Kluyveromyces lactis: one gene and its partners. The protein of the gene in region 2 purifies or fractionates together with the protein of the main gene of each other region. This does not show direct contact. Links are inferred from orthologs where the notes say so. Each region holds a gene or a part of one and is shown on either strand. Other genes may lie near its edges.

Evidence for each region.
Region 1: the proteins of RLP7 (region 2) and RSA4 purify together in Saccharomyces cerevisiae (affinity purification with mass spectrometry; 3 studies listed by BioGRID). This does not show direct contact. The link is inferred for Kluyveromyces lactis from reciprocal best matches to the Saccharomyces cerevisiae genes RLP7 and RSA4.
Region 3: the proteins of RLP7 (region 2) and NOP53 purify together in Saccharomyces cerevisiae (affinity purification with mass spectrometry; 3 studies listed by BioGRID). This does not show direct contact. The link is inferred for Kluyveromyces lactis from reciprocal best matches to the Saccharomyces cerevisiae genes RLP7 and NOP53.
Region 4: the proteins of RLP7 (region 2) and NSA1 purify together in Saccharomyces cerevisiae (affinity purification with mass spectrometry; 4 studies listed by BioGRID). This does not show direct contact. The link is inferred for Kluyveromyces lactis from reciprocal best matches to the Saccharomyces cerevisiae genes RLP7 and NSA1.
Region 5: the proteins of RLP7 (region 2) and RRP14 purify together in Saccharomyces cerevisiae (affinity purification with mass spectrometry; 3 studies listed by BioGRID). This does not show direct contact. The link is inferred for Kluyveromyces lactis from reciprocal best matches to the Saccharomyces cerevisiae genes RLP7 and RRP14.
Region 6: the proteins of RLP7 (region 2) and RPF1 purify together in Saccharomyces cerevisiae (affinity purification with mass spectrometry; 4 studies listed by BioGRID, with this or other methods). This does not show direct contact. The link is inferred for Kluyveromyces lactis from reciprocal best matches to the Saccharomyces cerevisiae genes RLP7 and RPF1.
Region 7: the proteins of RLP7 (region 2) and SDA1 purify together in Saccharomyces cerevisiae (affinity purification with mass spectrometry; 4 studies listed by BioGRID, with this or other methods). This does not show direct contact. The link is inferred for Kluyveromyces lactis from reciprocal best matches to the Saccharomyces cerevisiae genes RLP7 and SDA1.

Annotation. Positions count from the first base shown.
Region 1 is NC_006039.1:748,335-751,784, forward strand, and holds RSA4 (Rsa4p), read left to right. Parts: upstream 1-1,402; coding exon 1,403-2,950; downstream 2,951-3,450. Other genes in the region: mitogen-activated protein kinase kinase kinase SSK2, read left to right, coding at 1-875; IMG2 (mitochondrial 54S ribosomal protein mL49), read left to right, coding at 3,237-3,450. UniProt on the Saccharomyces cerevisiae protein: Involved in ribosome biogenesis. Required for processing and efficient intra-nuclear transport of pre-60S ribosomal subunits.
Region 2 is NC_006040.1:418,204-420,891, forward strand, and holds RLP7 (Rlp7p), read left to right. Parts: upstream 1-1,231; coding exon 1,232-2,188; downstream 2,189-2,688. UniProt on the Saccharomyces cerevisiae protein: Involved in the biogenesis of the 60S ribosomal subunit. May act as a specificity factor that binds precursor rRNAs and tethers the enzymes that carry out the early 5' to 3' exonucleolytic reactions that generate the mature rRNAs.
Region 3 is NC_006042.1:1,055,269-1,058,535, forward strand, and holds NOP53 (Nop53p), read right to left. Parts: upstream 1,836-3,267; coding exon 501-1,835; downstream 1-500. Other genes in the region: ATP-binding cassette long-chain fatty acid transporter PXA1, read left to right, coding at 1-260; HPR1 (Hpr1p), read right to left, coding at 2,259-3,267. UniProt on the Saccharomyces cerevisiae protein: Late-acting factor in the nuclear maturation of 60S ribosomal subunits, which is required for normal acquisition of export competence. Required for the export of the large subunit.
Region 4 is NC_006042.1:976,198-979,486, forward strand, and holds NSA1 (ribosome biosynthesis protein NSA1), read right to left. Parts: upstream 1,812-3,289; coding exon 501-1,811; downstream 1-500. Other genes in the region: CUE3 (Cue3p), read left to right, coding at 1-405; ARC40 (Arc40p), read left to right, coding at 2,295-3,289. UniProt on the Saccharomyces cerevisiae protein: Involved in the biogenesis of the 60S ribosomal subunit.
Region 5 is NC_006042.1:2,415,765-2,418,841, forward strand, and holds RRP14 (ribosome biosynthesis protein RRP14), read right to left. Parts: upstream 1,845-3,077; coding exon 501-1,844; downstream 1-500. Other genes in the region: SOV1 (Sov1p), read right to left, coding at 1-111; TEF4 (translation elongation factor EF1B gamma), read left to right, coding at 2,480-2,858. UniProt on the Saccharomyces cerevisiae protein: Involved in ribosome biogenesis and cell polarity. Required for the synthesis of both 40S and 60S ribosomal subunits and may also play some direct role in correct positioning of the mitotic spindle during mitosis.
Region 6 is NC_006042.1:2,012,237-2,014,868, reverse strand, and holds RPF1 (rRNA-binding ribosome biosynthesis protein RPF1), read left to right. Parts: upstream 1-1,253; coding exon 1,254-2,132; downstream 2,133-2,632. Other genes in the region: KLLA0_F21692g (pleiotropic drug resistance family ABC transporter), read left to right, coding at 1-717. UniProt on the Saccharomyces cerevisiae protein: Essential protein. Required for biogenesis of the 60S ribosomal subunit.
Region 7 is NC_006037.1:498,873-502,876, reverse strand, and holds SDA1 (Sda1p), read right to left. Parts: upstream 2,781-4,004; coding exon 501-2,780; downstream 1-500. Other genes in the region: transcription factor TFIIIB subunit BRF1, read right to left, coding at 3,333-4,004.

The DNA of each region.
Region 1 (3,450 bases), on a different chromosome or scaffold from region 2:
AGCGTAGCTTTATCGGAAGTGGTAGCTTTGGTACTGTATATTCCGCTGTTAACCTAGATACTGGTGATATTTTAGCGGTAAAAGAGATCAAAATCCAAGATGCTAAATCCATGAAGCAAATTTTCCCATCTCTCAAAGAAGAAATGCGCGTCATGGAGATCTTAAATCACCCGAATATTGTTCAGTACTATGGTGTGGAAGTTCACAGAGACAAGGTTAATATCTTTATGGAATTCTGCGAGGGTTCCTCCTTAGCCAGTTTACTCGAACATGGCCGGATTGAAGATGAAATGGTAACTCAAGTTTACACACTACAATTACTTGAGGGATTGGCATGTTTGCACCAATCTGGAGTTGTGCACAGAGATATCAAACCGGAGAATATCTTATTGGATCGTAATGGCGTTATCAAATATGTAGATTTTGGTGCCGCAAAACTCATTGCAAAGAACGGATCAAAGAGGATATCACTGGATGCCAATAACAAATCTACAGGCGGGAAAGATATGATCGGAACACCGATGTATATGGCACCAGAAACGGTGACTGGTCAAGGACACGGAAAATTCGGATCCGATGATATATGGTCTTTAGGTTGTGTTGTACTGGAAATGGTGACCGGTAGACGTCCATGGGCTAACTTAGACAATGAATGGGCTATCATGTATCATGTTGCAGCTGGTCACCTTCCGCAATTCCCAACCAAGTCTGAAATTTCATCTGCGGGTAGAAAGTTCATAAGCAGATGCTTAATACAAGATGCCAATAAAAGAGCAACTGCAATGGAATTGTTACTTGATCCCTGGATTTCTCAAATACGTAACATTGCATTTGGTGGCAATGCAGAATCTTTTAATAATGAAACTCATAACTAGTTCTGATAGACATAAAAGTTTCCTCCCCATGACGATCATATGTAACAATTGTAACCATAGATTTTTTTTTTGTATAAGTATTGTATGTATATATAATAATAATAGGAACTTTTGTTTGACTTTTTTTTAAACAATGCCGGATCCGTATAGTATCAATGTAACATGCACTTTCCGTTATCTGTGAGTTGCTTGCCAGTAAGTAAATTGCAGTCTAGGAATTTTTTGTGCCTGATGCTCCCCATAAGGTATTCAGAGCATAGTTTCAACATAATAAAGATTTATATTACCCGGAAGTGGTGAACTAAAAGAAATTCTTAAGTTCAAGAAAATCTTTTGAGATGCCGATGAGATGAGATGAGATGAGCTTCAACTACCAAGTCGACTTCCCTAAAAAGGAGAAGGTTCTGGTGAACGATATTAGTATTCCAGCAATAATCACAGGTCTTTTCTCGAAAGAAGTTTTTAGGTAATTAAACGAGCCCAAAATAATTCTCTGAATTTGTTAGGCCAAGCAATCCAAACGAAACATGGCAACCTTACTCCCACCGCCTTCAAAGAAGCAAAGAAGAGAAGCTCAAGCTGAACGTGGAGTTGACCTTATTCCCAAAGACCTTCCAAATGTTCTCATTAAATTCCAAGCTTTTGACAGTGGTGAAACTGTTGGAGGTTCTCTAAGGGTTCCAGGTGGTATTTCGGAGCAGCAACTGGAGGAATTGTTGAATCAGTTAAATGGAGACTCGGCAGATCCTGTTCCATACACGTTTAGCTGTTTAGTTAGCAACAAAAAGAAGGATGCAGATGAGGAAATGGTAGATATTAGAGATAATCTATATCAATCCATTTTAAAACCAGGTTTGAAAACTACCGAAGATTTTTTGACTCTAGTGTATACCCCAAGAGCTATCTTCAAAGTAAAACCAGTAACTCGGTCGTCTTCTGCAATTGCTGGTCATGGCTCGACAATTTTGTGTTCTGCATTTGCTCCAAATACAAGCTCCAGGATGGTTACCGGTGCTGGTGACAATACTGCATGTATCTGGGATTGTGACACTCAAACGCGTATGTGCACGTTACAAGGCCATCACAACTGGGTCCTATGTTGTTCCTGGTCTCCAGATGGTGAATTAATCGCCACAGGTTCTATGGACAACACAATTAGATTATGGGAATCAAGCAAAGGTAAGCCTTATGGTGATGCTTTAAGAGGTCACTCGAAATGGATTACCTCCTTATCTTGGGAACCAATCCATCTTGTCAAACCTGGTGACAAACCGAGATTAGCAACTGCATCCAAGGATGGAACTATCAAAATCTGGGATACAACAAGAAGAGTTTGCCTTTTAACCTTATGTGGCCATACGTCTTCTGTTTCCTGTGTCAAGTGGGGTGGAAAAAATGTTCTATACAGTGGTTCTCACGATAAAACAATCAGATGCTGGGACATGAATTTGAACGGTAAATGTATCAATATCCTAAAATCACACGCCCATTGGGTTAATCATCTTTCACTTTCAACAGATTATGCATTAAGACTCGGTGCGTTCGATCACAAGGGCGAAACTCCTGCTTCACCTGAAGAAGCCCAACAGAAGGCTCTGAAAAATTACGAAAAAGTTGCTAAAAGAAAAGGTGACTTCGAAGAACTGATGGTAACTGCCAGTGACGATTTTACTATGTATCTGTGGAACCCCTTGAAGTCTACTAAACCTATTACCAGAATGACCGGCCACCAAAAGCTCGTCAACCACGTTGCATTTTCGCCAGATGGCCGTTACATTGTTTCTGCATCCTTTGACAACTCCATTAAATTATGGGATGGAAGGGATGGTAAATTCCTATCCACCTTTAGAGGACATGTAGCGAGTGTCTACCAAGTAGCTTGGTCAAGCGACTGTAGACTACTCGTTTCTTGTTCCAAAGATACCACTTTAAAAGTCTGGGATGTCAAAACTAGAAAACTGTCCGTCGATCTACCCGGTCATCAAGATGAAGTCTACACTGTAGATTGGTCTGTAGACGGTAAACGTGTATGTAGCGGTGGGAAAGATAAAATGGTCAGGATATGGACTCATTGAGTGGATCCACTGCATCTGAATAATTAGCATGATTAAATTATAGACTGCCTTATGTATGTTATAGCTTCTTTTACATTTATTATGAGGTGCACAGGTGTCCCTTCTTCTTACAAGCTGAAAATTTTGAAAAATTAAAGCTTCAAGCATAGTTGAAAAGATGAAGAACGATTCAGCCGGCATTTACCATAGGAAATCGATAAGTTATCTATATAGTAAGAAAGGTGTACACCGGGAAAACCTGCATAACCACACAACAGCCTACTAATAATACAACGGCTAGTTAATAATGCTTACAAGAGTTACAAGAAGTTTTGCGGCTATGAGCCCAAGATCATTTCGGATTTGTACTAGACTACAATCAACCCAAGCACAGCAACCACAACAACAGGAAAACTCAGAAATTGAGCTTTTAAATGAACTTAAATCAGAAATGGACAAATTGGGACCATTATCTGATGCCGAAAGTGCCGAACTCAGTGCTTTATTTGACAGTCAAAGTC
Region 2 (2,688 bases):
TCATGCCGGTTTTTTTATCGTACTTGTCGTTTTGATAGAAAAGAAAAACATAAGACACTCGAAGTGATTTTTATTCCTTCGAGCGTGGACTTAGTCAGCCCGTAGTGGAAGTACATTTCCTACTGTTCACGCTGTAGCTCAACAAACGGCACAGTGTATTTACTATCTTCCTAGAATCACGTGAGCGAAGGGAAAAATATAACTTAAGAGTAGCATAATTCCAGTGCTGTCAGCGGTATCGCTCAGTGATTTGGAATTTAAATCGAGGAAAACGTCCTACAATTTAGGGACAGGCATGCGTTCACGGTTAAATCGTTCGAAATTTTTTCCGTCGTTCGAGCCGCCCCACTGGGATCTCTGTTGTAAGAAAAGACCGCCGATTTATGATAAAGGGCGGACTTTGCTCTGAGGTTCCTTCTCTGCCTTTTCAGCATTCTTCCTCTCGAGGGACCTTTTCCCATTTCTTTTTTTTCTTACTTGTTCTGTGTTGAGAACTTGAACCACAGTTGATCTCACGGTTGTTTCGAAACAGAGAGCGGCATAGATGGTACAAAGAATGGAGCCACGGCTGGTTTCGAAGGAAACACTGCTGTGGGCACACATTTCGAGACTCCTAAAGCCACCTCGAAAGCCAGTGTCAAAAGCCAAGATATAACGATTTCATGAGCTGATACGGAAAACTTTACTGCCGGTTAGAAGTGCTAGTTCCTGCAGCAGGTAGATAGGGGAAACTGCTTGAAAATTCGTCTCTGTATATACGATTCACATATAGACAGTCACAATTTGACTATTTGACTATTTAACTTGCTTCCCATTCTTTGGGTAACTTTCCGAAATGTTCCCATTTAATTCTGAAGAATCTTGCTGGGGTACACCATGCTGCAGCAACAGATCATCCCAGGTAAACGCCAACTTGCCAGTACCCTATTCGAGGTCAGCTTGTAATTGTAATTGTAATTGATCATCTACTTGTCTGAGTGTCAAACAGAAGATCTTGGTTTCACAGTTCACGTGACTGGAAGTGTTTCTTTTCGTTACAGAAAATTTTTTTGGCGAGGAAAAAAAAGTTCAGTGCGATGAGATGCGATGAGATGAAATTAAAGATTATGAATAAAGCTTTCAATGAGAGATGACCTTGGCTAATCTGAAGTATTAGGAGCATATAAGTTGTATTATATAGAGCTGGTTTGTGCTGAGATTAATAAACAGGGCAGTAATATAGAAGCAACAAATGTCACAACCATTGAACTCGAACCCAGAGGTTCTTTTAAGAAAGAGAAGAAATGCTGATCGTACTAGGTTGGAGAAGCAGGAGCTTGCCAAGAAGAGAAAGGAGCAAGAAGAGAAACAGAAACGTAGTAAGAAGAACAGATTTGTTAGAGCTGAGACGATAGTCGCCACAACTTTGGCTACTGAGAGAGAAAAGACCAGAATCAGAAGAGTCAGAGACTTAGAAAACCAAAAGGTCAAGAACGATTTGTCACATATCCCATCCGATAGGGATTTTATCTTGCGTATCTCTGAAAGAGAAGCCGGTAGTAAGGCTACATCCGAATCTGAGCTTCAAGATGTTGATGAGGAAGATGAAGAGGACGATGGGTTAATCAGGGAAAAAATCGTATACGATGGTGAGCCAAGCTTATTATTTGTTATAAGAGTGAAAGGACCCACAGCTGTGAAGATCCCAGCAAAGGCTTACAAAGTGTTATCTCTTTTGAGACTTGTTGAGTTGAACACTGGTGTTTTCATCAAACTTACCAAGGACGTGTACCCATTGTTGAAACTTGTATCACCATATATTGTTATCGGACAACCTTCACTTGCATCTATCCGTTCTTTAATCCAAAAGAGATCTAGAATAATGTGGCAAAGGCCAGAAGATAAAGAACCAAAAGAGATAATCTTGAATGACAACAATATCGTTGAAGAGAAATTAGGTGATGAAGGTGTCATTTGTATCGAGGATATCATCCATGAGATTTCGACGTTGGGCGAAAATTTCTCGAAATGTACTTTCTTCCTATTACCATTCAAATTGAACAGAGAAGTCAGTGGATTCGGTGCCATCTCCCGTTTGAATAAACTGAAAATGCGCGAACAAAACAAGAAGACTCGTCAAATTTCAAACGCTGCCACGGCTCCAGTTATCCAAGTAGATATCGACTCAATGATTTCCAAGTTGAATTGATTAACTATAAAAGGAAAATATCTGTACAATAGACATCGGGCTCCCATTGGCCCTACCCACATATGTAGAAATACATTACTCTATTCACTACTGCATTTAGTTATGTTTAACATTTGATATAGCAGACGCTACCGCCAGGCACAATATATTCCCCTTCCCTCTTGCCATTCGCTGTACTTGTGGTGGATTCCAATTCAGCGCAGTCACGTGCTAGTAATCACCGCATTTTTTTCTTTTCCTTTCAGGCTAAAACCGGTTCCGGGCCTGATCCCTGCACTCATTTTCTAACGGAAAACCTTCAGAAGCATAACTACCCATTCCAGTTTAGAGTCATGACAGGTTCAACATCAGATGCTTCATATACTTTTATATATTGAATTATATAAATATATCTATGTACTCTAAGTAAGTACATCTGCTTTAACGCATTCCTACATTTGCTTCGATTTATTTTTATTGTTGATACCTATTTGAAGAAGTAAAAAGTATCCCACACTACA
Region 3 (3,267 bases), on a different chromosome or scaffold from region 2:
TGGAAGATCATCTTTTTACCATGTTGAAGAGATACAGATTCAACTTCATATCCATCTCTCAACGCCCGTCTTTGATAAAATACCATGACTACCTATTGGAATTGACTAACGGAACTGATTGGAGCCTACAGGCATTAGGGTCAGACGAAGCTATTTTATCAATCGAAAATGAGATTGAAACCCTAAACCAAAAGCTAACAAAGGTAAAAGAATGGGAAAGGCAGAGAGATGAACTACAGGCAAAGTTGACATTGGTGTGAAAAATTGGTTTGAAAATTTAAATCTGCCAAGTCAAATGAACTATTCTTGGTGTGTAGTTCAATCAGTAGTAAAAGTGTCGGATATTGTATTCATTACTATTATATAATATAATCACAGAGTTAATGAATCTATTAATATTTTGCTCTATATAAATTATGCAAGAAAAGCACAGGTACGTCTGTGTATTTTATTGTACAAATGGTACGGAATGATGTATAGAAAGAAAAGAGCAAATTAATCTATTTGAAGTCCTTGTAAGTCCATTTCTCAGTGACTCTTGGTTTATATCTTCTACCTTTTCTAATAGGGATACGAGATTCTACCCTACCAGAACTTTGTAATGCTCTCACAGTGTCATATAGCAGATTACCTTCTGGTCTTAATTTTCTTAATGAATCTGATAGTTCATCTGAGAATTTCACCTCTAAATTGTCTTCCATGACGGAATGTTTAGTACCAAGCTTATGCTTCTTGTTCTTTTTAACTTTTCCGGCTGTAGAGACCGGATTTGGGACGGTGGATTCCACTTCCTGCTGAATTTCCTCTAATTTTTCAAGTTTGAGAACCTTTTCCTTCAATTTCTTTAATTCTTGCTGAAGTTTGACTTTTTCTTCGTGTCTTCTTTGTTTATTTCTCTGATATTTCGTTTTCTTTTTATTCTTAGTTGCTGGATTCAGAGACAACTTAGTCTCTTCTCCCTCTTCTGAAAGGTCTTTATCATCAAGTTCTGATTCATTTTCTTCTTCTGAATCGGAGTCCTCTTCCTCCTTATCTTCAATAGTATCCATCAAGTGTTGAATTCGTTGTTTATATTGTTCTAAAGCTATCCTGCGCTGTTCATTTATCAGCTCACCCTCATATTCAGTACTTATAAGAGCCTCCCATTCTTCTTTGCTTGGATTATATGACTTTCCTGCATGTGGAATGACATCTCTTTCTTTGACAATTTCTGGCACGCGAGCAATGGAATCCGGCTTAACAGTTGCGACGGACCAACTAGTTGTAGACTGTTTTAAGAATCCATTTGGAAGTTTCTCTACTTCTTCTGGTGCTATCTTAAGCTTCAGTCCAGATGGTACTTTAACCTCCTTACCAGCATCTTCGCCCCATAAATCAAGGGATCCTGACTTCACAAGACCTTCTTTTGCAACTCTTGCTTTCAACTTACTTTCACCAATTTTTTTACCAGCTAAAGCAAGTAATCTGTCCAGTTCTTTCTTTGATACCCCTTGGATCTTATCATGTTTCTTGTTAGCAGTCTTTGGGTTGGTTAGAGCAGGCACTTTGGATTTAGACTTGATAGACTCCAAAATCTCGGTTGACTTCAGAGTTTTCTTGATTGCTTTCCTCTTCACTAATTTCTGCTTTAAAACTTGGTCACCCTCAGTATCAACCGCAAAAAGCGCATCATCGCTAAGTTCTGTCAAATTCTGCTTACCATGAGTAGTCTCAAGGATCTGCTTCTCTTCGAGCTTGCGTTCCACATCGCTTATATCAATATTCTTTCTCCATGCCTTCTTACCTTTACGAGAAGATTGTTTGTACTGAGCTGGTCTGTCCTTAGATCCCGCCATAACTAACTATTTTGTCTGTTTGTTTGAGGTGGATTGTCCTGAATAGTATGGTAAGGATTAGTAAAACGATACGCCAGTCCCCGAGTATTAATTGTGTACTTGAATTCATCTCATCGCATCGCATCTCATCTCTTTTTTTTTTTTTCATCTTATTGGCATCGGATTGTCTAAATGAAAAATTGACATAAAAAAAAAGAAATATGATTATTCTCCGGGTAACATTCACTTTCGAAGCAAAGTAAAGGATATCGATTCATAATAGACAAGGAGATAGCTGTCGAATGTCAATTAGGAGAGGAATAGTCTAGAATCGTGTGATATTGATAAGTAACATCTGTAATTGATAAAATAAATGATTCTTCAATCGAATTATATGCTATATATTTGAACGGATGTCTGAAAAAATATTACTGTATTGTTAGCCTACTCCGTGTGGGAGCTTCCTTCATGTTCTTTCGGCACCTCTACTTCTGTTTCTGTACTTTCTATTGTTTTAAGCTCTGTTGGTTCAGATTCAAGCGCTTTTTCCTTTTGAGCCTCAGCGTCAGCATCTGGTTCTTCAACTTCTTCCTCAAGTTTTTGTTTCTTCGAAACAGCTTGTTCTTCTTCATTCCCGTCAGCCTCTGGACTATCGTGTCTTCTCTTTAGTGAATCATTATCTTGATCATCAGGCGAAGTTGTTTTATCATTTTTTCCATTTTCCAGAGTTTCTCTTTGACTTTTTATCTTCGCTTGAAGTAGATCTTTCCTTTCTTGTTCCTTGTCTTTGAAAAACTGTTCAGCCTCGGCGACTTGTTCGGAATGTTTCTTCTTTTTTGACTCTATTCTTTCGGCTAGCCGTCTTTTCTTAGATTCGATATCATTCCTAATGAGTTCTTCATTGGCGAACCCCGCCAGAGTAGTTTTTTCGCTGACCTTATTAAACTCAAACAAGTATTTCGGCCTCAAAGATCTTAGATTCTGCCATTGTTTTACTATGACATTATCAGTAGTGGTTTCATCACCATCAGTTTTTTCAGTTTTATCCTTGTATTCGGATATTATAGTGTCATATAGTTCTGAGGGATCTTGTCTATTGTTTTCTGAATACTTTCTCGCTAAATCTAAGCCTGATTGCACTTTCCATAGACCGTCTAATTTCTTATTGCCGAGTTTAATCCATCCGAATTTCTTGAATGCATTATTAGCTGTTGGTACGGTAATCAAATCAGAGGACCAATGAATGTCTTTCAAATTTGAGAAATCACCGACTTTTTGATTGAGTGCATCCAATTCATTCTGAGCTAGATGATTCAACAATTCATAAAATTGACGATCCCTAATTTCATAAAATGAAGAAATTCTGTTTAACTTCTTCGTTAAGAAATTGATAGCAGAATCGTTTTTATTTAGCACGTTGTCTCCATATTCAACACGCCATTTCGATGAATGG
Region 4 (3,289 bases), on a different chromosome or scaffold from region 2:
CGGGGCTCGAAACAGCGGAAAGAAATGAAGAAAGAGACTAACTGGTCTGACGAACAAATTGAAGGTTGGTCAAGAATGATTGAGAAGAGTCCAAAGAGGGCACAACTGCTAGAAGAAAAGTATATTTTCAAAGGGAACGTTCGGCAAGGCAAGAAGACGTTTACAAAAGCACGAGAGGATAAAGAAGGTTTTGATCATCATGTAGTTGACAGCACCGTAAATTCACCTAACACTAACAGTAATAATGATTCTGGCAGAGAGAAAACACCTACTACCAAAGAACCTCTTACCAAAGAACAACAAAAGAGAAAAAATGCTCGTAACGAGAAACTAAAATCAAGTCGTGCTAATCATAATAGAAAAGCGGGACACGATAAAAAGTTAGCTAAAAGTGGTGTTTTATGATGAACATTAGACCAGTATAGATACATTTACGAAAATTGAAGTCGATTATCCTGTATCTTCCTATTTATCTGTAGATATTATGAAATGCATTTACTTTAAATATCATTCTTCGAAACTTTCCTTTTCTTGGATTCTAATTTATTCCAAAGATCCTCATTTTCAGCATCTTCATCAGCTTCGACGATGCTTCTTTTGGCTTCCTTCTTCTTCTTCATTTTCAATTGCTTTTCAGTTAAAGGTAATTCCAAGTCATTGTCTTCTAAGAGTATAATATCAGAAACCTTACCGCCTGTGAATATCTTTGCCAGGAGCTTATAATCGGCTAAATCAAAGATACGAACATACCTGTCCAAACCACCTTGAAGTAAGTATTTATCGGTAACAGCAATGCAAGATGCAAAACCAGTAATGTCGCCCTTGGCAATCTTTCTCAACAAGCGTCCCTTGCCGTTGAATTGGTACACATCTTTTCTGGAGTCTGCTGCTAAGAATTCAAGCTCGTCAAAGTTAGAACTTTGAAAGTTACCCAGTGGGGATGTGTCGCCTATAATTTTGCAAGAATTCAATTGCTCACCTTTGGGTAGAAGAGTAATAGATTTCACAGGTCTACAATCTTCAGCGTTGGTGGAATACTTTCTTAATTGAGCATATTTCGTAATTGTAATGAAATTATAAACCCCGTTCTTTTCTGATTCTAAGAATCTCAAAGCAACATCCCATGCAGGAACTCTTAACCCAATGTTGTCAAAGGGAACATTTTTAGCAGCCCATATATCAGAAATTTCTTTGAAATCGGATGATAACTCGATCAACCTAACTAGATTTTCCTCTCCACCGTATGCCATAACGAACTTATCAGATTTATCTAAATCATAAAGTGTAACAAACTCTACAGGCGCCTTTATTTTATGAGAAGCTATCTTGGAGATCTTAGTTGAATGCAAATCAACTTCGATGATGGTCACATTTCCAGATTTCGTTGCTGCCAAGAAGATGGGGTTTTTAGCCGATTTCTTAATCAAATATAGTTCCACAAATTGATCCTCGATCTTACTTTTCTTCTTTGATTTCGAACTAAGTGTATCCAACACTGACTGGTCAAAAAGTCCCGATATTAGATCTTGAAGTTCAAATTCTGTCACATCATATTTCGGCTCATTTGTTTCATCAACATCCTTAGAAACCCTCTTACTTGACACAAGTTCTAAACTACCACTATGTCTTGCTAAGAGTAACAGAGAATCAGAAACATGATATATCTTATCAATTCTGTTGGACAAACCTTGGTTTAAATGAATGTCAATATGGAAAGGCTGTAGTGCAGTCTTAATTGAGGTGTTTGTGCCTCTGTTGAAAATAATTTCTTTCAATGAGCCACTATCATCACTCGCCAATAAAACTCTCATTGTTAGTTCACGTCCTGGTATTTCTAGACGGAGTCTCAACGGCAAGTACTCTTATATATATCGTACCTCATCGCCAGTGTTCTTATGCCAATGATGCGATGAGCTCTAAAATTTTTCAAAAGAAACTATCCGGGAATACAAAATCACGTGACTGATATCAAAAGGTAAAGATGGCAGGATGACGGTTAAACCCATGACAACCTTTCGCTCTCAATGTGAACCAGGCTTATGGATTATTTTTAGGTACATCAGGATCGTGTAAATTCCAGCACTGGTCAATGATGAAAATATACACCGTTTGTTAAAGGTATTAGTCTGTATAGGGGCATTCGTGCAAGTGAAGAAATATTAAGAAGTTGAAAATCGTTCATTATTACTCAGATAATCTATATGTGCATCCCACTTTAATAAGGGTAAAATGATTGTGCATTCTTCTGAATCTACGTTAATTAATCGAACAGTTCATTAGTCGAGAGTCTCCTAATGTCTGATATCGCTGCTCAATTCAAATTGGTCAAAGGATCTATTTATTCTCACTGTTTCAATCAGGACAGAAGCCTTTTGGCAATCACCTATGATACTGATTGTTACGTTTACAAAGTCTCTGCTGCAAAGCAACCTCAATTGGTAGCAGTACTACCAGATCACGACAAGACTGTTACTGCTGTTGATATTTCTGTTCACGGTCGTATTGTAACTTGTTCACAAGATCGTAATGCCATTGTGTGGGAGCCCTTATCTAATGGTACTTATAAGCCAACTTTAGTCTTATTGAGAATTAACAGGGCCGCAACCTGTGTTTCATGGGCTTCATCCGGTTACAAGTTTGCAGTCGGTTCTAGTGCTAGAATCATTGCTGTGTGCTACTACGAGCAGGAGAATGATTGGTGGGTTTCCAAGCACATCAAAAAACCTATCAAGTCCACTATCAATGCCTTGTCATGGCACTCAAATTGTGTCCTTTTGGCATGTGGTGGTACTGATGGTTACGCTCGTGTGTTTTCCGGTTTCATTAAGGGATTGGATACCAAGGAACAAGTTGCTGGCTCTCCATGGGGTGAGAAATTCCCATTTGGTTCTTTGGTTAGAGAATGGTACCAGGGTGCCTGGATCCACGATATCAAATGGAGATCTTCCATCGATAAGGTCGCATTTGTCACCCACGATGGTTCCTTGAATATCACTGATTACACTGACGATATTAAGAGTGTAGACAACCCAGAAGGTCTTCCATTCATCACCTTATGTTGGATCAATGATCATGAAATTTTAGCAGCTGGTTTCTCAAATCATCCTGTTTTGTACAGCGAAGGTTCAAGGGGTTGGGAAGTGTCCAAGATTTTGGATAGCCCAGTTAAGAGTGCTGGCAAATTGGTAGCATCAACTGGGGATGATGAAGAAGAAGGTGCCTTCGGTATGTCCGCATTGAGAAAGTTCAAGGAATTGGATTTGAAGGGTAAAGTTAGCCAGCAAGAAGA
Region 5 (3,077 bases), on a different chromosome or scaffold from region 2:
TTTCTTTATAGTGGAGATAGTATTTGATAAACTTTTGGTTCGTATATATCGAAGTTGTCTTGGTGTAACGAGTAAACTTAATCGACTTCGACAGGTTATCACATTCAGCATTATGCAATATAGAATCTTTCTCTTCTGCAACGTTGCCTTGTTTCGCTGGAGTGAACCTCTTCAACCTCATCTCATCGAGATACCTTATTTCATCTATACTATTGCGTCTGAACCATTTTCATGATTTTTCGAACGCAGTTTAAAATGAATGAAAAGAAATAACCGCACATTGGCTTCTGAAATCCATTATTAAAGACTACATGGTAATAGAGATTTTATGCATTATTACATTCTGGGTTTGATTATATTTATTTTTATATATCATTGGGTGTCAGTATATAAAAATAGAGATGCAAAAGTAAAAGTAAAAGGTTAATCTATAACTTGAAAGGATGAAATATGATATTATGCTTTTATTTGTTGGATGGAGAATATTAGTTGATTAAGGCTCATTTCTTCTTGACACTTTTCATACGTCCTTCAAATCCTGCTCTTTTCTTCAAATGGGCAGTTCCCTTGAATTTTCTCTTCATCTTCTGTTGTTTGCTCTTCTTCTTACCTTTATTGTCCTTTCTAATCTGTAGATTTTCCTCTCTTCTCTTCTGTCTTTCGGCAACAGTGTTTTCTACCACTTGTTTACGTTCACGCCATTCGACGGTCGACTTACGCTTCTTAGCCTCTTTACGCTTCAAAGCTTTGCGAAGTAGTTTCTCATCATCTTTAAGCCTGATACCTTCTGCTTGCAACATGGCTTTTTGCCATTTTTCCTTCTCTTTCAGTTTAATTTGATCCAATTCATCTCTTGATTCTAATGATTGTTTCTTTGTCTCTAGCAGTCTTAAATGAGCTTTAACGTCCTTTTTGGCAGGTCCCTTTTTTCTTTCACCCTTTCTTACATGCGATAAATCAGATGTAGCCTTTGTACCGTCATTGAATTGAATACTTTGGAACATAACATCTTTGGCTGAAATCTCTTCATCACCATTGCGACGATGTTTCTTGGAAACGTGAGCATCTTCTGCATCCGAGTCCGAATCAGAATCTGCGCTATCATCAGAAGACACATCACCAGCTTTTTCAGAATCTAACTTGGTGGCCCTTGCCTCTTGTCTACGTTTTCTTTGAGCAAGAATAGCTTCTCTTGAACTTGGCGCACCTTCCACCTTGGTTCCTGGGGCTTTTCTTTTCTCCTTTAAAGCTTTGATTTTCTCCTGTAGTTTACAGCGTAATTCTTCCATCTTCTTCTTCTTCTGAGAAGAGTCATCTTTGGTACGTTCGATGGCCTCCTGTTTTTTCTGTATACGCTCTTTCTCTTGCTTCTGTTTGTTCTGATCTACTGGGTTTCCATCATCATCAAAGATCACCGCTATACTCTCAGATTCGCCCAAAGTTTGAGAAATGTTTATTTCCGGTACTTCGTCAGATTCTTGTTCCTCGGTTTGCTCCTCCTCGTCCTCTTCTTCGTCCTCTTCGTCTTCATCATCTTCGGACGATGTTTCAGACTCTGCGTCTAGTAGTTCACGTTGGATCTTCTTTTGGCCTGGTAAAACCACAGCTTTCGCCTGAGCTTGTTTCTTCTTCATAACTTCGAGGGCAGAGCTGGATTCATCGTCCTGCTGCTCAGGATCCAATTTCGATTTCTTATCCTCCTTCAATTGCCCTTTGCTCTTCTTCTTGGCATTCCATTGTTCCTGTGTCTTGTCATCGTAGTAATATTTCGCAGGTATCAACGAAAGTAGCCCTTCAAAGGCGCTAGAATTCGATTTCAACCGTTCTTCAAGAGAATTGCTCATGTCAGGGTGGATTGGTACAACTGAGCTGTGTAAATAATATCCTTCTTACTAAACGAATCTTAGTACTGATAAGTACATTGCTGTAAGAACAAGTTAAGTCTCTGTACCTGTCCGGTGCGATGAGCTGAAAATTTTCTATATACGGTTTTGAGAATATCACGTATGGTGAATCTTTGAGGTTTCTTTTCTACAGGGAAAATTACAAAAAAAAAAGAATACACTTTAAATAAGTCACGTGACCTTAGTCAAAACGAGCGGAAGATGACTTCTGTATATACAATGTACAGAAGTACTGTACAGTAACAGACTTCAACCATTTTATTGTTGCCACATGTACACCATCATTCTTCTAGCCATTTGACAATGCCCTCATAGCCAATGATACTTGCCCCCAATCATTACCCACGGCTCATCTCTCGAAGCCAAAAATTGAAAATCCAAAACAAATTTCTTTTTGTTCCAGCCGCTACGTGAAAAGAAGAAGCTCTAAAGGCCTTTCAATTACTTACTTGATCACTACAGTTAAAATAGCCCGTATAAGGAAAAATGACTATTCAAAATTTTTATGTTTTTCCAAGTTTTTTTTTTTCTTCAGTTTTTTTTTTCAAAACTTCTCACATTTACTTTGTATAAATATGTTATGGGTACGATTAATAGTAAATTTTTTCCATTCTTGTTACTTCGATTCAGAACACAATTATTTGTTTGTGCAGTGTGTGTTCAAGTTTGATTTTCAATATTCAGTTCAGGTCATAAGGACGTCCATACAGAAGCATCTTTTTGTTGGATATCATTTCATAATGGCTCAAAGCACTTTATTTGTTCTGCCTCCTTCCCCAAGAAGTATCTTGGCTAAAGCTTTGGCTAAGTACTTCAAGGTAGACGTCAACGTTGTTGATGTTACTGCTGCTGAAAATAAGGAATTCACCAGCAACTTCCCATTGCATAAGACACCAGCTTTCATTGGCGAAGACGGTTTCAAGTTGCACGAATTAATTGCTATTGCTTATTACAGTATGTGTGAGATTTTTTCACATTTTATTTCAATTGAATATATTGAGGTTTTCCCCGTCCCTTCTGTTCTACTCAATTGAAGCCTTGGATGAATTTAATTTTTTATCTTCTGATAATGATGAGAACCTTTCAATTATACAGTTATCCCTGTCTGAATGGGTAAAAAGTTTAATAAAACATGGTAACACTCACGTGTCGAAAATGTATACTCTGACATCA
Region 6 (2,632 bases), on a different chromosome or scaffold from region 2:
ACCATTGCCTTCTTCGTTTTCTACTATCCTATTGGTTTCTACAACAATGCGTCATATGCCGGTCAATTAAACGAAAGAGGTGTGTTATTCTGGTTATTCTCTGTTTCCTTCTACGTATTTATCAGTTCAATGGGTCAATTGTGTATTGCAGGTCTTCAGTATGCTGAGGCTGCAGGTAATATGGCATCATTAATGTTCACTATGTCCTTGAATTTCTGTGGTGTGTTTGGTGGTTCTGGTGTTTTGCCAGGGTTCTGGATTTTCATGTACCGTATTTCACCGCTAACTTACTTTATTGATGGTGTACTCTCAACTGGTCTTGCAAACAACCCTGTAACATGCGCAAACTATGAATACGTCAGCTTTAATCCAAGGAGTGGAGAAACCTGTGGTGAGTACATGGCGGACTATATTGACAAGAATGGTGGTTATCTACTAGATTCAAATGCTACGGAAGATTGTAATTTCTGTAAGATTTCTGAAACAAACGCATTTTTGACAAGTTTCCAATCTTCGTACCATAGAAGATGGAGAAATTTCGGTATTTTCATAGTCTTCATTGTGTTCAACTGGTGCGGTTGTGTTTTCCTATACTGGTTGGCTAGAGTTCCAAAGAAGAAGAACAGAGTGGCTGATGAGAGAGACCCAGATCATGGCAAGAAAATTGAAAATGTTCAAAAGGAAAAGGTTGAACCTCAATCCAATGAACAAGTTTAAGGATTTTTGCTTTTTGGCCAATTTTTACGTCGTTTACTTCTGTTTTTTTTTAACTATTAAACTTCATTTCTTATCGTGGGCTTGCGTTCTGCTTTAATATTTTGTTTATTCTGTATATATAGACCTGAATTGATATCTGGTTTCCCCATATATTACTATGGAAACCAAAAAAAGAAACTTCGATTGCATATAAAGTCCCAATATAACTCGATTGCAAGTACGAAAATTATTCAATTTTAGCATGGATCTCTGTTGTGGATGGTCGTTGAGGTAATCAAGATCCTTTGATGGGATATTCGTCAGCTCACCCTTCCTACAATGATTGCAGCGACGAATGTGAACTCTTTTCTTTTTATCGAAAATTAGCTTTCCAAAATTTTGAAAGTTTTTGTATTGATCAGATGAGATGAGATGAGATGAGATGAGGCTAACAAGATAGAAGTTGAATATAGTGGAACATAGCTAGTTATGTAGCTTATTCTAGGTCAAATAGCGAGGGTGCATAACAGCAAATCGGACGATACTATAATTTCAAAATGGCAGTGGATGAACTCAGAATAAAAAACAAGCAGAAGAGGCAAAAACTCTTTGCTGAGTTGAAGGATCAGCACAATAAGGAGCGTCATTCTATGAGGAGGACCAGAGCCAAGGAAGAACGTGAGAATCCGGAATTGAAGGAAAAAAGACTTGCTGAAAATGTTCCTGACACAATTGATAACCTCAGAGTTTACGATGAAACGATGGGTCAAGAAGTCGAAGGTGAAATGGATGATTTTATGAAATTTTTCAACGGTACCGAACCACCAAAGATTCTATTAACAACTAATGTAAACGCCAAAAAGAAGGCATATGAGTTCGCTAATATCCTGATCGAAGTTTTCCCTAATGTGACTTTCGTGAAGAGGAAATTTGGATACAAGCTGAAGGAAATCTCTGAATTCTGTAATAACAGGAACTATACAGATATCGTGATAATAAATGAAGATAAGAAGAAAGTAACGGGGCTTACATTTATTCATCTTCCAGAGGGGCCAACCTTTTATTTCAAAATAAGTTCTTTCGTCGAAGTCGAAAAGATCGTGGGCCATGGTAGACCAACTAGCCATATTCCAGAGTTAATCTTGAACAATTTCAACACCAGACTTGGTAAAACTGTGGGTAAACTATTCCAATCTATTTTCCCTAAGAACCCTGATTTCGAAGGTAGACAAGTGATAACGCTGCATAATCAAAGAGATTACATCTTCTTCCGCAGACACCGTTACGTTTTCAGGAACGAAGAGAAAGTAGGTCTTCAAGAACTTGGGCCCCAATTTACTATGAAACTCAAAAGACTACAAAGAGGTATCAAAGAGGAAACAGAATGGGAACACAAACCTTCAATGGACAAAGAAAAGAAGAAGTTCAATCTATGATATATTTGCATATATTTATATACAAATTCAAAGCCACCTGTGTACTAGTCCTGCACTTGGAGATTTATCAAAGATTTGACGGTATTATCATCACTACTCACGAGGCTGACGAAAAGTGGTGGCAAAATGAGAAATTCCTTGGCTTTAAAGAAAACAGGGCATTGAAACCTTTAAAGGATTTGGAATGTTTTGGGCTTAAATGAGTACAAGCCCACTGTTGAAAAGATTAATTGAAACAAACGGTTACTCTGTTGATCTGAAGAGGTGGTACACTAATTGCTCTTTAGGATTGTCATATTCTTGGTCATTATATTTGATCGATTGCAATCTAAGAAAAAGTATTTTTTCAGGCTGTTTGTTATTGTTGTTTTATTGGAAAGGAATTATTAACACGATCGATCACTGGGAAAGTAAACACTGACAGTAAAAACACTAAGCCACTTTACTCTTTTTTTTGTACACTGTTGCTATTACCTCTCTTTTGTTTTCAGCATCTTAAC
Region 7 (4,004 bases), on a different chromosome or scaffold from region 2:
CTGAGACGAGCTAGTCTAGGCAGTAGTAAATCGTTCCCTCGAGAGTAACGCGTTGGAACATATGCCTTCCCGGCCCCATTTAGTGCGGGCCAGCATCACGGGCCACAGCCCGTGATGCGAAGAAGGCTTAATGCCGACGCATGAATATAGCTGATAGTGTCGAGATTTCCATTCAAGCTGAAGTTCCTCAAACATCCTGTAGTGGTCTCTTTTTCTTTTCGAGTTTTTTTTTTCCCTGTTAGATCATGTCCTTCTCGGTCCAAAACCGTTGGCACACCGTTAAGCCGTGTTAATAGTCCTTTTTGACCTGGGATATGAGCAGCAGACAAGTGGTCTCGGATGGTGATATCACATTGGCTGAAAGGACAACTTCAAAACTGGGCTAAATGGAGAAAATGAGTTGGTCACGTGACACTGACGTGTCTTTTTTTTCTATCTTTTATATGCTGTGTCTACAAGTGCCTATAATTAATATAACTACTTTTGCCATGCCATCTAGTTTAATTACCTTTCTTCTTTTGCTTCGTGATATGAGCACGCAAGACCTTTTGTTTGTCACGAAGCGACATTTTTTGCTTACCCTTCACAGATCTCTTATGGATCATCATCACAAAGTTCTTCTTTCTAGATTTCTCTTTATTTGTAGTTGATCTCATTGAACTGTCACGCTTACCACGCTTACTTCCGTATTTTTCACGGTCTTCACGACCTTCCATAATAGATGCCATTCTTTCCTCTTTGTTCTGTTTCTTGTGCTTGGCTGGACCCATAAGCTTGTAATGCTCAATAGTTTCTTCGTTGTTGATCCCCATAAGTTTAGTAACACCCTTTTCAGTACGTAGTTCTTGAAGTTTAGCGAAATCGGCTGGTGTTAAGATACGACTGGATGCTAATTCACGGAAAGCTTCTTCTGGGTCAGCGGATTCACTTTCTTCCTTCTGCTCTTCTCCCACCTTTGGTTCTTCTTCATCACCGGATAATTCTAAATCACTATCTTCACCAGCTTCCGGTTCGACTTCATCGTGGGAACGTTTCTTACCCTTATGACCTGTTTTGTTCTTGCTTTCCTCATCGTCAGAGTCCATGTCAACTTCGTACTCTTTATCGCTTTCTATCGTCACCCACTCACCTTCTACATCCGAAGCATCTGATAATTCATCCCGGTTGTTCAAATCCCATGCAGCCTCATCATCATCATCCTCCTCGTTTCCGTTCTCACGCTTCCACTTCGCTAGTAACTCAATACCATCTATACCTTGTACATTAGTAGTCTCGACACCAAACTTGACACGTTTGGATTCCCTGCCATTGCGTTTGTCGTCCTGTAGTCCCATAGAAGCGGTCTTACCACGATCTTTCTTCTTTAACATCTCCGGAGCAACTTCTCTGTATAATGCAATCAAACCCTTAGCAGCAATGGCGACACTCTTGGCCTTGGAGCCCTTATATTCGGTTAAATCTTGTAGTAAAGTCTCATCGATAGCTAATGGGGCACGAGTCAAGATTTCTCTGACTGTATTCAAACCCACAGTGGCAACCTCATTTGAAACACCGTCGCTAACAAACTCGTTGGCTATCTTCCTCACCATCACTTCAATGGTCTCTGGAGGAACAAGATCATGACAGGATTGGGCTGCAGCAGATAGAATCTTGGTAACGTCCCTTTGCTTTGGCGTCAGGTATTTTAAGAAGTATGAATATAGTCCAAGAACCATTAACTTGTGTGTACCTGTTAAACGGGATAATAATTGCATGATGGCAGTCTTTTGTTCGAAATCAAATTTGTTCGAATTCTTACCACTTAGATGTCTTTCAAACAATTTCTCGGCAAACCCTTGTGGATCACGTAATAGATGGATGGCACTGAAATTTAAGAAATTATTCTGTTGAACACCTTTAGCAGATTTCTTCTTTACGACCTTAAGTGCTTGCTCTAGCTTCTTACCTCTTTTACTAGATTTCTTGTTGATCTGGAGCTTGTGCTTCAAAGCGGTAGTATCGATTTCATCCTCATCGTCGTTTTCTTCAAACGCTTCTTCACGCTCTTTATCAGCATCCAAAAAGAACAAGACACCACTGTATGCAATTTTAACATCGTTATGTAGTGCAGCATGGGTCATAATTTCAACCGATCTTGAATCGTCCCAGATACCTCTTCTCCATAACTCTCTTGTCAATTTCGATGCCCATATACCTTGAGAATCTGGCTGTTCCAACAAATTGAAACACAACGCATGGGTAGATTTGTTTAATTTTTGGTTCTTACCACTGGTGTTACAAGATTTCATCAACTGTACTAGAGTGTTGTAGATTAAAGTTCTTAGCTCTTTGGCGTGAGAATTCTGGACCATCGAATTACTAGGGGAAGAGTATGCAATAAGCAATGGGAACATAGTTTGAATCAAAGTCTCAGGGCTGATAACGTTCTTATTTCTCAACATAGTTAGACTGGTGATAATCTTTTCTTTCACGTCAAACGGAAGCGATTTGTGGTGATCTAATACTAACTGTTTCAATTCGTTTGGGAAGTTTGCCGTTTCACGAGGATAACAGGAACAAACTTGAGATACAAATCCAATTGCTCCCATAAACTCAGCCATTGCACTTTCATCAGTGCTCTCGTTGTTGACCGAATTTAACATGAAAATGTCTCTTAATGATTGGTAGTGAGCATATTGCTGTAGAAACTCTTCACGATAGGATTCAGGATCACGCTTAACAAGGTTCTGCAAGAGAATAATGTTTGTCGGTAGAATAGCAGCACGAGATCTCCTAACCATATTTGTTTCTTATTTGATTATGTGATTCCTTTTCACTGTTCGGAAATACTTAGTTGATTTGCACAAGTTCGAATAGTGTTAGGCAACTTTAGTTGTCTCGGAGTGATATACTTTGTTCATACATAGGTTCTATCTCATCGCATCTCATCTCAAAATTTTCTTCCTTCTAAAAAATTTCTTTTCACTCACGGTACGGAAAGAAGAAACCAGAGGCAAAAAGTGGGTTTAAGGCTCTTTAATATCTGAATAGGCAAAATGGTATACTGATGGTAGCTTATTATTGTGTTCCATAAATGAATAATAGTCCACACCAAACGAATATTTGTTTGCAATGTTTATAAATTATGTACGCCGTTTAAATATAGTTCCAAAAATATAATCGAAATGAAATTGATACACCAATTTAGTGTAAAATATTAAAATAAAAAAGAGCAAAAACAGACATCTGTATCAAGTAACGATATGTAAATAGCAGTTGGTATTCATATAATTTTCTTGAGTTTGATCTGATGGATATCGTACAAGAGAAGAGAAACAGTGACGACGTAGAAACTATTTTTGTCCAAAGAGACCGTTAATAGCATCGTAATTGATCTTCTTTGAGAAAGTCGTCTTTTGTAATAGATTCTTGACACCTCCAGCTGCGACAACATCTACAGCATCAGCGTCATCCACGGAAACATCAAGCGGTAGTCCGTCGACTTGAACTTTGACGATGCTTGCACTGGATTGGTTTCTATTAGTACGTTTGCTGCGTTTTTTTCGTAGCGAAGTATTCCCACTGGCCAAATCTGCTTCCTGTTTGAGTCTTTTTGATTCTTGTTCAATCAAGTAATCACCGTTGATATCAATCCAAATACGTTCTTTCAATTTGGAAGCTTCTTCATCTAACAAGTGAGAATCCAATTCTGCATCATCAACATCATCCAAATTTTCAGGATGATCGCTGACTTTTGAAAGCAGAGAAGCTGTGGTGGGTAATAAATGTAAATTTCTTGGTCTATATGGATCCTTTTCAAGACTATATCCATCAATTTCATCCAGGGAACGTTTCTTGTCTTTCTCAGTTTTGTGTAAGTCTTCTCCATCGATTCCATGCGTAGCTTTTATACGACTGAATTCAGCTTTTCTGCGTTCAGAAAGCTTCTTCAAATAATAAAGGACTTCTTTAGACGATAGTTCCTGCGCTCCGAGCACTTGAGTCAAAATTGGATTTCTTGACAC